2 linked regions of the Callithrix jacchus genome follow. The protein of the gene in region 1 purifies or fractionates together with the protein of each later gene. This does not show direct contact. Links are inferred from orthologs where the notes say so. Each region holds a gene or a part of one and is shown in the gene's direction. Other genes may lie near its edges.

The links. The genes of interacting proteins can lie anywhere in the genome.
Region 2: the proteins of DNAJC17 (region 1) and CDC5L purify together in Homo sapiens (affinity purification with mass spectrometry; 3 studies listed by BioGRID and IntAct, with this or other methods). This does not show direct contact. The link is inferred for Callithrix jacchus from reciprocal best matches to the Homo sapiens genes DNAJC17 and CDC5L.

What each region holds. Positions count from the first base shown.
Region 1 is NC_133509.1:45,782,294-45,790,241, forward strand, and holds part of DNAJC17 (dnaJ homolog subfamily C member 17), read left to right. Parts: intron 1-3,712; coding exon 3,713-3,782; intron 3,783-4,110; coding exon 4,111-4,169; intron 4,170-4,417; coding exon 4,418-4,505; intron 4,506-7,948. UniProt on the Homo sapiens protein: May negatively affect PAX8-induced thyroglobulin/TG transcription.
Region 2 is NC_133505.1:52,851,633-52,859,580, forward strand, and holds part of CDC5L (cell division cycle 5-like protein), read left to right. Parts: intron 1-129; coding exon 130-291; intron 292-896; coding exon 897-1,024; intron 1,025-4,241; coding exon 4,242-4,341; intron 4,342-7,948.

The sequences.
Region 1 (7,948 bases):
ACAGAAAAAGCTTATAGCAAACATGTCTGTTTTCATGTTCCTTTTTGTTCTTAGTACCTTTTACTGATTAAAGCAGAACTTTTCTATTTCTCCTCTAAGTTGATCTGGAGAAGAGTCTAGACTTCACTCTCTCAAGTAGTTGAACCAAACAGCTTGCCCTGGCGGTTCACAGCTTGCCCACAGTTGCCTTGGCAGGTCAAGGGTGGTGCTGGCTGTGGCCCAGCAGGTGGCAGCACACCCCTGAGGTCCTGGGCCCGGTGCTGTCTCATGCAGGCAGGAGCTGCCCCGAAAGTGCTCACCTGGCAGATGCCGGCTGCTTACCTCTTGAGTCTAGACTTCTCCAGATCAACTTAGAGGAGAAATAGCAAAGGTCCTTTTTTTAAACCCCCCTGTTTTAAAGGCCATTTCAGGCTCTCTGCCTGGAGAACTGCTCACCTTAGACCCAGCTCAGATAGTGCCTCCTCCAGGAAGCCTTCAGAGCTAAATTAGTCGCTGCCTTCTCTGTGTTCCCATTTTAATGGACCACTCTTAGGCATCTCACACATGTAATTGGAACTGATAGTTTTCCCTGGAATCCTCTTTGCTAAACAGTATTCTTCTTCAGAGCCAGAGAACATGCCTGTTTGTCCCTGTGTTCCCAGTCTCCCATCAGCACCTGCATATCCTAGATCCCTATCAGTGAACGCAAGGCGGGTCAGTGCATGCTGCACCGAGGGGCTCTTGGAGAGCTCTGTATGGACCTCACTTCTCTCCCTGCTAATATCTAGCCAGTATATGAGACTGGCAGTTGTTTCCTAAACGACTTTGAAATACAGAATGTTCAGCTCCTTATATATATATATATATATATATATATATATATATATATATATATATATTTTTTTTTTTTTTTTGAGACAGAGTCTCACCGTGTCACCCAGGCTGGAGTGCAGTGGCACAATCTCAGTTCACTACAACCTCCGCCTTCCAGGATCAAGCAGTTCTCCTGCCTCAGCCTCCCAAGTAGCTGGCATTACAGGCACGTGCCACGACGCCTGGCTGATTTTTTATATTTTTAGTAGAGACGGGGTTTCACCATGTTAGCCAGGATGGTCTCGATCTTCTGATCTCGTGATCTGACCGCCTCAGCCTCCCAAAGTGCTGGGACTACAGCAGTAAGCCACCACGCCCAGCCATTTTTTTTTAATTCTTTTTTTTTTTGAGATGGAATCTTGCTCTGTCACACAGGCTGGAGTGCAGTGGCATGATCTTGGCTCACTGCAACCTCCACCTCCCAGGTTCAAGTGATTCTCTTGCCTCAGCCTCCCAAGTAGCTAGGATTACAGGCATGTGCCACCACACCTGGCTAATTTTTTGTATTGTTAGTAGAGATGGGGTTTCACCATTGTTAGCCAGGATGGTCTCAATCTCCTGACCTCATGATCGGCCCGCCTCAGCCTCCCAAAATGCTGGGATTACAGGCGGGAGCCACCACACCAAGCTAATTTTTTTATTTTTTGGCAATAATGAAGACTTACTGTATTGCTCAGACTGGTCTTACACTTCTGAGTTTAAGCAGTCCTCCCACCTCAGCTTCCCAAAGTGCTGGGTTTACAGGTGTGAGCCACACTGCACCCAAGCTGTTTGTTTGTTTTAAACTCAAAAGTTTATAGTAAGATCTGTGTCAGAACATGGATACCTCTATTATAATCTTTTGTTTTTTAATTTTTTTTTTTTTTTTGAGACGGAGTTTCGCTCTTGTTACCCAGGCTGGAGTGCAATGGCGCGATCTCGGCTCATTGCAACCTCCGCCTCCTGGGTTCAGGCAATTCTCCTGCCTCCGCCTCCTGAGCAGCTGGGATTACAGGCACGCACCACCGTGCCCAGCTAATTTTTTGTATTTTCAGTGGAGACAGGGTTTCACCATGTTGACCAGGATGGTCTCGATCTCTTGACCTCGTGATCCACCCGCCTCGGCCTCCCAAAGTGCTGGGATTACAGGCTTGAGCCACCGTGCCCGGCCTTGTTTTTTAATTTTTAAAAATAGGCATAGCAAATTCCAGAACAAACTTTTAAAATTTCTTTTCTTTTTTCTTTCTTTTTTTTTTTTTTTTTTAGTCAGAACTAAAACCTAAAGAACAAACTTTTTTAAAAATTTTATTTTTTATTCTATTTTTGAGCCAGGGTCTCCCTTTGTCACTTAGGCTGGAGTGCATTGGCACAATCTCGGCTCACTACAACCTCTGCCTCTAGGGCTCAGGTGATTCTCCTGCCTCAGCCTCCCGAGTAGCTGGCACTATAGGTGCACGCCACCACACCCAGCGAATTTTTGTATTTTTAGTAGAGACGTTGCACCTCTGCCTCTGGGTTCAAGCAATTCTTCTGCCTCAGCCTCACAAGTAGCTGGGATTACAGGCAAATGCACCACCACACCCAGCTAATTTTCATATTTTTAGTAGAGATGGGGTTTTGCCCTATTGGCCAAGATGGTCTCAACTCCTGACCTCAAGTGATCAGCCTGCCTCAGCCTCCCAAAGTGCTGTGATTACAGGTGTGAGCCACCACGCCTGGCCTCAATCATAATCTTTTATTTTATTTTGTTTGAGACACAGTTTCACTCTGCTGCCCAGGCCAGAGTGCAGTGGCGTGATCTCAGCTCACTGCAACCTCCACCTCCCAGGTTCAAGTGATTCTCCTGTCTCAGCCTCCAAGTTTCTGGGATTACAGGCACCTGCCACTATGCCTGGCTAAATTTTGTATTTTTATTAGCGACAGGCTTTCACCATGTTAATCAGGCTGTTCTCAAACTCCTGACCTCAGGTGATCCTCCCGCCTCAGCCTCCCAAAGTGCTGAGATTACAAGCATGAGCCACTGAACTTGGCTAATGATAATCCTTTAAATGAGTCTCCCTGCTGACGGGGATCTTGTTAAGCTGGTATAAACAGTGCCATACTGAGCATCCTTATATATTTATTTTGCCGTACTTCTACAAGTCCAGATGCCTAGGACTGGGTCAAAGGGAAATAACATTTTAAATTTTGATGGCTGAATCTTCCTCCAGATAGGTCACCCTAGTTTATAGGCCCACTGAAAATGTGTAGAGTACCTGTCTGCGCATGGCTATAGAGAAAGCAGGGTACTGGCCGGGCACGGTGGCTCAAGCCTGTAATCCCAGCACTTTGGAAGGCTGAGGCGGGTGGATCACGAGGTCAAGAGATCGAGACCATCCTGGCCAACATAGTGAAACCCTGTCTCTACTAAAAACACAAAAATTAGCTGGCCGTGGTGGCGTGCGCCTGTAGTCCCAGCTACTCAGGAGGCTGAGGCAGGAGAATTGCTTGAACTTGGGAGGTGGAGGTTGTAGTGAGTCGAGATTGTGCCATTGCACTCCAGCCTGGCACCTGGTGACAAAGTGAGACTCTGTCTCAAAAAAAAAAAAAAAAAAGAGAAAGCAGGGTACTGTGCTCCTGCCCGTTCTGGGAGCCGCTGAATATATGCAGTGGTGAGACTGAGTGCTTAGAAGGAAGTGGGCCCAGCTCCTGTGCTGGGCGATAGTGGCTTGCTCCCCCCACGGCCTTGGCCTCCTCCATTGCAGGTCTCCCTGGCAGCAATGGAGTGGGTGCCAGCAGCTTTTCTTTTAGGTGTGCACGTGATTTCCCTTACCCTTTTAGCAAGGTTTTCCTGTTTGTGGGATGAGAGTGAATGACCATGTCTTCTGTCTGACTCTTCCAGGTGAAGAAGGCATTTAGGCAGAAGGCCCTCTCCTGCCACCCAGACAAAAATCCAGATAATCCCAGAGCAGGTGAGACTCTTCTAAGGGTGTGGGGAGAGGCCCACTCACCCGCGCATTGCGTTTTGTGCTAGAGCTCTGCATGTGAGTGCTTTGGGGGGGTAGGCACACACAGCCTGGCTCCAGAAAGTGGAACCCACGGCTTCCATTCATGTCAGGGGTGTCTGGTCAGTTGCTGATGTGCTCACCCCTCCTTGTTGGTCTGTCATCTGCTGATCGCAACTTTTCTGCCATCCTGTGGCTTCTTTGAAGTGTTTTTTTTTTTTTTTTGAGGGAGCACACCATCACAAAGTGTTAACTTTTTTTTTCTTCTCTCTCTCTTTTTGATCCTTACGTTTAGCTGAACTCTTCCACCAGCTTTCTCAGGCCTTGGAGGTGCTGACCGACGCTGCTGCCAGGGTAAGCACAGCCTCCTTTATCTGAATCGTCCCCCATGCTTAGAGACCACTGCTGCCCCTCAGCCTCAGTCCTCTGCCCTTTGCCATGTGGCACAGTTCTTGCTCTAAGTCCTTGCTGTCTAAGCCCAGAAGACTCAGTCACCAGGCTGCCACTCTGATGGTTCTTGGGCTAGGGGCCACGTAGATTGCTGGGGCTCCTGTCTTTATTCTCTGGCTGACCCTCTGCCCTGTGCCCCTTTGTCCTGCCAGGCTGCCTATGACAAGGTCAGGAAAGCCAAGAAGCAGGCAGCAGAGAGGACCCAGAAACTTGATGAGAAAAGGAAGAAAGTGAAGCTTGGTAGGTAACACGTAGTGCTGGATGGCCTGTGGTTTCCTGTGGGCATTTTCACTCATCTCCCTCACCTGGAGCTTTATTCCCAGCAGCTCACCTCAAAGCCTTCTGGCTCAGGATCTGGGCAAAATGATGTTCTTAGAGGTTGGTTCCTAAAGACACTCTTAGGAATAATAACGGTAATAAGGTTTAATATTAGCTAAGCATTGTGACAAATGCTTATCCATCCTTTAATTGTCATAACTGTACAAGGAAGTGTGGGTACTAAACCTTTTTTAAAATCTTTTTTTTTTTTGAGATAGGGTCTCACCTTGTCGCCTAGGCTGGAGTGCAGTGGCTCTATCGTGGCTTATTGCAACCTCCACCCCTGGATTCAAGCGATTCTCGTGCCTCAGCCTCCCGAGTAGTGGGACTACAGGCATGTATGTATCACCATGCCCAGCTAATGTTGTTCAGTTTTTGTAGAGATGGAGTTTCACCATGTTGGCCAGGCTGGTCTTAAATTCCTGGCCTCAAATTATCCACCTCAGCCTCCCAAAGTGCTGGTATTACAGGCGTGAGCCACCGCACCTGGCCTCAAGCCATTTTTTATAGGCAAAGGAGCTAAGGCACCAAAAGTTTAAGAGCTTGCTGGAGCTGGGATTTAAACTGACCCAGTGTGAGTAAAATTGGTGCTTGTGTTCACCATGCCCAGCTGAATCTTTTTTTTTTTTTTTAAGAGAGATGAGGTTCTGTACTGTATGTACCCAGACGAGGGTGGTACCATCATAGCTCACTGCTGCCTCAAACTCCTGGGCTCAAGCAGTCCTCCTGCCTCAGCCTCCTGAGTAGCTGGGACTACAGGTGCGAGCCACTGTGCCTGGCTGGGTCTTTTCATTTTTACTAACCCCAATTCCTACCCAGAGTTTCACTTTGAGAAGCTCCCTCAGAAGGATTCAAAGAGGTCTAAGCTTTCTCTTCTCTAATAGCTTTATTGAGGTATTCTTTGTATATCATAACATCAACCCATTTCGACTCTACACTTCAATGATTTTTAGTAAATTTACCAAATAATGCAACTCTGACTGTAAATCAAATTTAGAACATTTTCATCAACCCAGTAAGATTGGTCCAAGCATTTTTTTTTTTCTCATTAAAAAAAAAAATCGATCCAAGATGGCCGACCACTAACAGCTCAGGATTGTAGCTCCCAGTGAAAGCTCAGAGAACGAGACGACGCCACATCATTAGACGAATTTTCGTCACTCACCGATTAGCCGACTCCCAGTGGAGGAGCCCCACGGGTCGCCAGCGCGACTCTTGTGGCCGCTGCAGCGGTTTTGCCGGCGTCTCGGCGCAGCAGCTCTTCACGCAGAGCCAACGGGACCGCTTCCCCTACTGACCAGAGTTTGGAGCTCCGGGAAGTCAGAGCCGCTTGTTGCGGACTCAAGAGGGAAGCCAGACCAGAGATTCCCGGGCAGAAGAGCACCATCAGTCTTATCGCTGCTATTTAGGCTGCCACAGTGGGTGGCTCGGATCCCAGCACTGGGAATCAGTAAGTCGGACGTCGACTCAGAAAACTAATTAGAAAGGCGGTTCATCTAAAATGAAGGGAAAAAAACAGCCTAAGAAGGCTGAGTATACTCAAAATCAGAACCCATCAGCAACGGAACAAGCCCTGATGGAAAAGGACTCATCAGCAACCGAACAAGCCCTGATGGAAAAGGACTCATCAGTAACGGAACAAGCCCTGATGGAAAAGGACTGTGTTCCATTATCTGAAGTAGGCTTTAAAAGGTGGATGATAAGAAACTTCTGGGAGTTAAAGGAACTTGTTCTAACCCAATGTAAAGAAACTAAGAACTTGGAAAAAAGGTTCGATGAAATGTTGAAAAGAATAGACAATATAGAGAGGAATACAAATGAACTTATGGAGTTGAAAAATACAACACGAGAACTGAGTGAAATATGTACAAGCTTAAACAGCCGAATGGATCAAGCAGAAGAAAGGGTATTAGAGGTCGAAGACCAACTTAATGAAACAAAACGACAAGACAAGAATAGAGAAAAAAGGATAAAAAGGAATGAGCAAAGTCTCCAAGAAATATGGGACTATGTGAAAAGACCTAATATACGCTTGATTGGTGTACCTGAATGTGACGGAGAGAATGAAGTCAAGCTGGAAAATACTCTCCAGGACATTATCCAGGAAAATTTTCCTAATTTAGCAAAGCAGGACACTATTCAACCCCAGGCAATACAGAGAACACCACAAAGATATTCCTCAAGAAGACCAACCCCAAGGCACATAATCGTTAGATTCACCAAGATCGAAACGAAGGAGAAAATATTAAGGGCAGCCAGAGAGAAAGATCAAGTTACCCATAAAGGTAAGCCTATTAGGCTTACAGCAGATCTCTCAACGGAAACCCTACAAGCTAGAAGAGAGTGGGGGCCAATATTCAATATACTTAAAGAACAAAACTTTCAGCCCAGAATTTCATATCCTGCCAATTTAAGCTTTACATTTGAAGGAAAAATAAAATCTTTTAGGAACAAGCAAGTACTCAGAGATTTTATTACCACCAGGCCTGCTTTACAAGAACTTCTAAAAGAAGCATTATACACAGAAAGGAACAACCAGTATGATCCTTTCTAAAAATACACCAAAAAGTAAAGAGCGTTAACATAAAGAAGAATTTTTATCAACAAAAGGACAAAATAGCCAGTTAATATCAAATGGCAGCAACCCTAAAGTTAAATCAACCAAATCTCCCAATCAAAAGATACAGACAAAATCCAACGGTATATACAAAGATATACATAGACTCAAAATAAAGGGTTGGAAAAAAAAAACGTACCAACCAAATGGAGAGCAAAAATAAATAAATAAAAAGCAGGAGTTGCAATTTTCACATTTGACAAAATAGATTTCAAAGCTATAAGGATACAAGGGTAAAAGGATTAATGTAACAATAAGAGATCTTAACACCCAGATACATAAGACACATAGATTTAGATTCAACGAGACAACAAATTGATAACGATATCCAGGATTTGAACTCAGAGCCAGAACAAATAAACACAATAGAGGTCTCCATTTTAAACACATAAAATATGCATTAACCACTTTAAACACTCAAAATATTGATCGGCCATTATTGAAACCCATTTTAGGAATGAAGTAATATTCCTTTTTCCCCCTTTTTCTTTTTTTCCCCTTCTTTTTCTCTTTTTCCCTAAAAAAAAAAAAAAAAAAAAAATCACTGGTTATAGCAACATGGTGTAAGCACTCTTCTTTTTTTTTGAGATGGAGTCTCGCTCTTGTTGCCCAGGCTATAGTGCAGTAGCGCAGAGATCTCAGCTCACTTCAACCTCTGCCTCCTGGGTTCAAGCAATTCTCCTATCTCAGTCTTCCAAGTAGCTGGGACTATAGGTGCGAGCCACCACACCCAGCTAATATTTGTATT
Region 2 (7,948 bases), on another chromosome or scaffold:
GAACAGTTTTAGTAATTGAAGGATGAGAGCATTTGTTTTTCAGACACTAGAAGTCAGTGTATCCATTGTGCAAATTGGATATTTATGCCAGGTAGCTGATTAATACATAAAATGATCTGTTTTTAATAGGTATGAATGGCTAGATCCAAGCATTAAAAAGACAGAATGGTCCAGAGAAGAGGAGGAAAAACTCTTGCACTTGGCCAAGTTGATGCCAACTCAGTGGAGGACCATTGCTCCAATCATTGGAAGAACAGCGGCCCAGTGCTTAGAACACTATGAATTTCTTCTGTAAGTGTATCTTCAAAAGCAGTGTAGAATATATGTATCTCTTCCGAAAGAGGCCGAATAAACTTTTAGTATTTTCTCTCTTTAAACTTTTAATTACAGATGTGAGTAAAGCCAGGGCTGAAGCCATTGGATGGCATTTTCCAAATCTCATATGGTTGATCAAAATTATGCCTTCTGTTGTATACTTCTTAAAATAATAATTGAAAAAAATTATACAAGTCATGCATGTTTATCATTAGAAAATCTGGGGAAAAAATAGTAAAAGAGCAAATAAAAGCCACCATAATCATGCTGCTGAGAATTAACTATTGCAACATTTTGGTTCTTTACTAATAGTTTTTTTTTTTTTAAAGTCTGTGTGGCTGTACTGCAGTTGTGATTAGGATCTGTTGGGTCCTTTTTCAGAGTGATTGAAAGCAGTCACTGAAATTAGCGAATTTTAATATCATCTCTTTGAAATGAAGTAATGTAGAAAGGCTTTATTTTGTTAAAGCCCATCCATTTTTTTTTTGGGGGGGGGCAAAAAGAGTGTCAGAGCTTGGAAATGATAATTTTAACACTAAATGGTATTATAGTGTGACTAACTCATGTGGGCTTTTTTCTAGGGATAAAGCTGCCCAAAGAGACAATGAAGAGGAAACAACAGATGATCCACGAAAACTTAAACCTGGAGAAATAGATCCAAATCCAGAAACAAAACCAGCACGGCCTGATCCAATTGATATGGATGAGGGTAAGTGTGTGCTTTGAGGAATTTATTTCTTTGGTAACTATAAACTCCTCAGGTCTCTTTTTAACTCTTTTAGTTCCTTTCTGAACTCCTCTACTTTAGAATCCCTTCCTTTTTTTTTTTTGAGACAAGGTCTTGCTCTTGTTACCCAGGCTGGAATGCAGTGGCACAATCATGGTTCATTGCAGTGTTCACCTCCCGTGCTTAAATGATCTTCCCACCTCAGCCTCCTGAGTAGTTGGGACTACAGATGTGTGCCACCATGCCTGGCTAATTTTTTAATTTTTTCTAGAGATGGGGTCTCCCTGTGTTACCCAGGCTGGTCTCAAACTCCTGGGCTTAAGCTATCCTCCCTTCTCTGCTTCCCAAAGAGTTGATATTATATCTGTGAGCCACCATACCTGGCCCCTATTTCTGTTAGCAGTTCTTATTCTAAGTATCTTTCCAAATGTGTCCAGTGTTTTCTGTTATAGAGTAATTGCTTTTTCTGAATAGTGTCCCTTTATCTTGTTTTTTCAGTTCAGTTAATTAAGCAGTGTTACTGGGTGTGGTGGTGTGTGCCTGTAGTGCTGGCTGCTAAGCAAATTGAGGTGGGATGATCTCTTGAACCCAAGAGTTGGAGGCCAGTGTGGGCAATATAACGAGACCCTGTCTTTAAAGTTGAGTAGTGTAATTCTACTGGGTGGATTTTTCAGAGGCTGGAGGTGAGCTCTTGAGGATCCTGTTTCTCATTCCTATTCCATGGAGAGAGGCAGCAAGTTGGAATATTGGACCTCAGTCCTCCTATTAATTACTAAATTGACTACAGGCAAGTTATTTATTCTGTGTGAGAAGGCAACACTGTGAGACAGTGATGGAGACTTACAAGTGATTCTGTGAGGTATTGAATCAGGAGTTCTGTACTAGAAAGTATATGGAATCAATCTAAGTGTCCATCAATGGATGAATGGATAAAGAAAATGTGGGCTGGGCATGGTGGCTCACGGCTGTAATCTCAGCACTTTGGGCATATCACTTGAGCCCAGGAATTTGAGACCAGCATAGCCAACATGGTGAAACCCTGCCTCTATAAAAAATACAAAAATTAGCCAGGTGTGGTGGCGCATGCCTGTAGATCCAGCTACTGGGGAGGCTGAGGTGGGAGGATCACTTGAGCCTAGGAGGCTGAGTTTGCAGAGAGCCAAGATCAAGCTTTGGCACTGCAGCCTGGACAACAGAGCAAGACCCTGTCTCAAAAAAAAAAAATAGTGATGTACACACACACACACACACACACGCACGCACACACAAAATACTATTTGGCCATAAAAAACAATGAAATGTCATTTGCAGCAGCATGGATGGCACTAGAAGTCATTATGTTACGTGAAATAAGCCGGGAACAGAGAGAGAAATACTGCATATTCTCACTCATCTGTGGGAGCTAAAAACATTTATTTCATGGAGGTAGAGAATAGAGTGATAGATGCCAGAGGCTGGGAACAGTGTGTAGGTGGGAGAGCGGGATGAAGACGGGTTGGTTAATGGGTACAAGTATAGATGGAAAGAAATAAGTTACAATGTTTGGTAGCAGAATAGGGTCACTATAGTTAGCGACAGTGTATTATGTATTCCAAAGTAGCTGGAAGAGAGATCTGAAATAAATACTCAAGGCAGTGGATACCCCAGATACCCTGACTTGATCATTACACATTCTATGCATGTAACAAACTCTCACACGTACACTATAAATATGTAAAGTATGTATTAACAGAAAATCAAGAATTGGATTTTCAACCTGTGTGTGCCACCTATTAGTTGTTTGACCTTCAGCAAGTCTTAAAATCTCTTCGAGCTGTGATTCCCTTTGTTGCTAGATGGAGAATACTAGTAACTGCTTTACCTTAGCAGGGTTGTTGTGAAGCATTCAGTGACTATTTGTTGAGTTTCTAAAATATAAAAGTTTGAATGTAGTGGTTCCCAAAGGCAGGCTGTGGCTAGGCTGGCTGCATCATTATCACAGGGGGTACATTTAAAAATAGAAATATGAGGGCTTCCCCTGTATATACGGAGTCAGTACATCTGAGGTGGTGTGAGGGGCAAGGGAAGAGCAGTGACCTTGGAATCTGAGTATTTTACAAGTTCCCATGTGATTTGGTTGGACAGCCTCGCATAGGAATTGTTTGAAGGCATCAATAATGGCGTGTGTTACTCCATTCCACAGAGCCATGCAAAATGTATTGGAGGAGAGAAATTGTTCTGAGGGAAAAAAAAGCATCTCATGATAGCAGTTCTCTCATAATGAAATCGTTTTTACCATATTTCACAATTTGTGCTGTGTCAGTTAGTTGATGATAATGAAGGATACAGTAATTCTAGCCACTGTTTGATGAATAGGATGCTTTACATATTTCATTTTACTTAGCTCTTCTCAACATCCTTGTGAAGTAGGAATTGTCTTCCAATTTTATAGGAAGATACACTTAGGGAGGGTGAGTAAGTGACTATAAGGTCACATAGCTAGCAAGTGGTGGGCCTGATTTTTAACCTAGGTTCTTTGATTTCAAAACTCAAGCTGTTTCCATTATGCTACACTGTGAGTATATTTATGTTTTTTTCTAATAGAGTAATAGAGTGTCTCTTACATACCTTGCTTGTAAGGTATGTAAGAACTAAGAAAAAACTTAGTTTTTCTTCTTTTTTTTTTCCCCACATGAAAGTTTTTAGTTTATTAAGCTTCTTGTGAAAAATCCACAATGGCCACAGGTAACATCATTGCAGCACCTTTACCCCTTTGGCTGTGATCCAGTCCCCAGCTCACTTTTTGCCAGCATCAACATTGGCCTTTGTGGTCTCCCTGACTTTCTTCATTCTGTTCCTGCGTTCCTTTCGTTGTGTTCTTGAGGTCTTTTTCTTCTCATATAGGCCATGTCTTTCAAGTCTATGTTTGGTTTCATTTTTCTTTGCATACAGGGGATCATAAATCATGCCAAAGCCAGTTGTCTTACCACCACCAAAATGAGTTCTGAATCCAAATACAAAGATGACATCCGGTGTGGTCTTGTACATTTGGCTAGTTTTTCCCAAATTTCTGTCTTAGGCACTGTTGCTTTCCCGGGGTAAAGGACAATGACCATTTATTTCCTCTGAAGCAGTCGGTTGGTCATGAACTTTCTAGTGTGGATAGTTACTGTGTCGTTCATGATGGCGGTCTCAGTTTTTCTTCTTTTAATTTTTGCAGATGAACTTGAGATGCTTTCTGAAGCCAGAGCTCGCTTGGCTAATACTCAGGGAAAGAAGGCCAAGAGGAAAGCAAGAGAGAAACAATTGGAAGAAGCAAGGTATGTGTGGATATAGGAATAAAAAGCAAAGTGTTTTTTTCACTTAACTATCAACACAGAATACTTCTGTGACCAGATAGGTGTTTTCTTCCCCCCACCCACCCCCCACCACCAGCAAGCAGGCAATCCTGCAGTGGATAGCAGGTTGTCCTCTAATTCAGTTAACTCTAATACTGTCTATCTGGAGATAGCTCCAGATCTCACAGGTTGAAGACTTAGTCCCACAAGACTGAACACCAGTTTTGATGCTTGACCACAAGCCTCAGGTTGTTTTTCTTGTGTTTCTGACTAAAGAGCTGGCTTCCACTGCCTTCTCCTTGGGTTCTATTCATTTGCTAGAGGGCCCACAGAACTCAAGAAAATACTCAATTTACTAGTTTATTATAAAGGATATGTTAAAGGATACAAATTAACAGCCACATGAAGAGATACATAGGGTGAAGTCTGGAAGGGTCCTGAATGCAGGTGCTTATGTCCCATTGAAGCTGGGATATGCCACCCTCTGAGCAAGTGGGTGTGTTCTTGTTCACCTTTTTGGAAGCCCCATGTATTTGGCTGCCCACAAGTTCTCCAGACTCTGTCCTTTTGGGTTTGTATGGAGGCTTCATTACATAGGCAAGATTGATTACATCATTGGCCGTTGCTTATCAACTGAACCCTCAGCCCTTCTCCCCTCTCCTGAGGTTGGGGGGTAGGGCTGAAAGTCCCAATCCTCTAATACTGCCTTGGTCTTTCTGGTGACAGCCATCAGTCAACTCATTAACATACAGAAAGACCCTTATCACTCGGAAGAGTCCCAGGATTTTAGAAGTTGCATTGTTGTAAACAGGGATGAAGACCAAATATATTATTTCACAATGTCACAGTGTGGTTGTTACCATTCATAGTTCAGTAATTAGTCTAGGCATCCTAAGGACCAATAAAAATGACATGATTTATTTTTTTTATTTGTTTTGTTTTTGAGATGGAATTTCGCTCTTTTTACCCAGGCTGGAGTGCAATGGCGCAATCTCGGCTCATCACAGCCTATTCTCCTGCCTCAGCCTCCTGGGTAGCTGGGATTACAGGCACGCGCCACCACTCCCACCTAATTTTTTTTTTTTGTATTTTTAGTAGAAACGGGGTTTCACCATGTTGACTAGGATGGTCTCTATCTCTTGACCTCATGATCCACCCGCCTCGGCCTCCCAAAGTGCTGGGATTACAGGCTTGAGCCACCGCGCCCGGTGCGACATGATTTATTAACCCTGTTGGGTGAATGATAATTGGAATTGTCCAATTCTCATTTTGCTAGTATTCTTTACCTTCTTTATTTCTCTGAAAACATCTTGTATTTTTTTCCCTAACCATTTCAGAATAGTTAGAGAAAACCATATTTTAAAAAATTTAAGCTGGCCAGTTGCTGGCCCAGTTTATCCAGTATGTTGAGTTTGTTCTGTTGTCTTATGAGAGCTTCACTTGTTGTAGCTATTTTGGAGTCATGATTTTAGGACACACAAGATTATGTGTCTTTTGTATGACTGCTAATTAGTTACTTTGCTTGATTGGTATTGGGCAGGCACTGGCCGTGAAATAGAATACTTGGCTGAACAAAGAGGGAATTAATGAGCCTAGAACCAAATTTAGGCCCTCACAGAAATCTTTATTTAAAAAGTAAATGAGTATATATTGCACATTGTCTTTCACCCAGGATTTTCTTCGCTTTCCCCTTTTTTCCTTTTGGTTAAGTCCATGATTGATGTCCCAGTAACTCAGAATCCAAGATGAAGTCAGTAAAGGGCAAATTTGGACCGGCCCTGGAATAACCTCCCTGTCCTACACAGTGCCCCTTTGTGGACCCCAGGTTGGCCTGCTGGTGCTTCTTCACCTGATGACGAGCAGTATGTTGGAATTAATGGCTTTGAAGTGCCAGATTCTGGGATGGAGGATTTTTTTCATGCCTGAGGATGCATGTTGGCAGAGCTGACCAGCTGCTAGCCTAGAATAGTTAACTTATGTTGAGGGTATGAGCTGCCTGGGACAGTAAACAGAAACCAAGAGGAAGTACTAAACTTTCTCCCATTCTTGGCCACCTCTCTATTCTGTATACTATTTAGAGTTAAATACTGTGAGTAAGGTTGAAAAAAAATTACTTTTCCATTTTTATCCGTGGTTGTTGGGGACCAAATTTTTAGAGCCTTTTAACCATGTGGATTGGACCAGGGATACAGCAAATAAATATGTGAAAAATCTCCAAGTATGGCTAGCATTGATTGCTTTAAATAAAAGTTGCAGATTTTAATTTACCCTATAATTTCTTGTAGGCATTCTTATAGATTCTGCAAATCTTTATAAGTTATATTATAACAGGCTGGGTTAGCCTTTATGCAGAATGCAGCGCAGGGCTATTTGTTTTAAATGTTAAATTACAAATCTACCTTTTAACTTAAAGCAGTTTTTTATTGATTATAAAGTAGCACATTTTTTCTTCCAGTATTGTTAATGTTCTAATTTTGGGACATATGCAATATAATACTTTATGACTTGGTTATAGACATTTAGCATTATGGTGTAAAGGTTTTCTAATGTGGTTTGAAGTCTTTATTTCCATTATTTAAAGAATGAAATTACTTTAAAATTTGAAATATATATCTCTAAACTTTTCTTTCAACATAGATGTGTATTTATACATGTATATATACACTAACATTTCTACAAAATTGAATCATACTGTATTGTTTTAATGAGAAATACTGTAAATCTTACTGAGATTTCCTTGTATTGTTGAATCATTTTTGTTTTATTGCTTTTAATTTTTATTTTTTTTTAAGAGAGGGTTTTTCTCTGTTGCCTTGGCTGTAGTGCAGAGTTCACTGCAGCCCTCAACTCCTGGGCTCAAGTAATCCTCTGCCTTAGCCTCCTGAGTAGCTGGATCTACCAGATGCACACCACCATGCCCACCTAATTACAAAAAAATTTTTTTGTTGAGACGGAGTCTTACTGTGTTGCCCAGGCTGGTCTTGAACTCCTGACCTCAAGCCATCCTTCTTTCTTGGACTCCCGAAGTGCCAGGATTACAGGTGCGAGCCACTGTGATTGGCCTGTCTTACTGGTTTTCAATCTTCTCGTCTTTGGCTTTCAACATTTTTAATATGATGTGTCTGTCTGTAGATTTCTTTTTGTTTATCTTGGAGTTCATTGAGCTTACCGGATATGTAGATTAATATTTTTCAATAAATTTTTCAAAATTTTGGCCATTAAACATATCTTCACACATTTTATTCTGCTCCTTTCACTTCTCTCCTTTTGGTACTCCTCTTATGCTTATGTTGGTGCATTTAATAGTGCCACATATTTCTCTGAGGCTCTGTTCATATTTCTTCATTCTTATTCTCTCCTGTTGAGCCTCTCTAGTGAAGTTTACATTTCAGCTTTGTACTTTTTTTTTCTCTTTTGGACAGAGTCTTGCTTTGTCACCCAGGCTGGAGTGCACTGGCACAATCTCTGCTTACTTCAGCCTCCACCTGTTGGGTTTAAGCAGTTCTCCTGCCTCAGCCTCCTGAGTACCTGGAACTACAGGCGTGTGCTACCATGCTCGCCTAATTTTTGTATTTTTTGTAGAGACGGA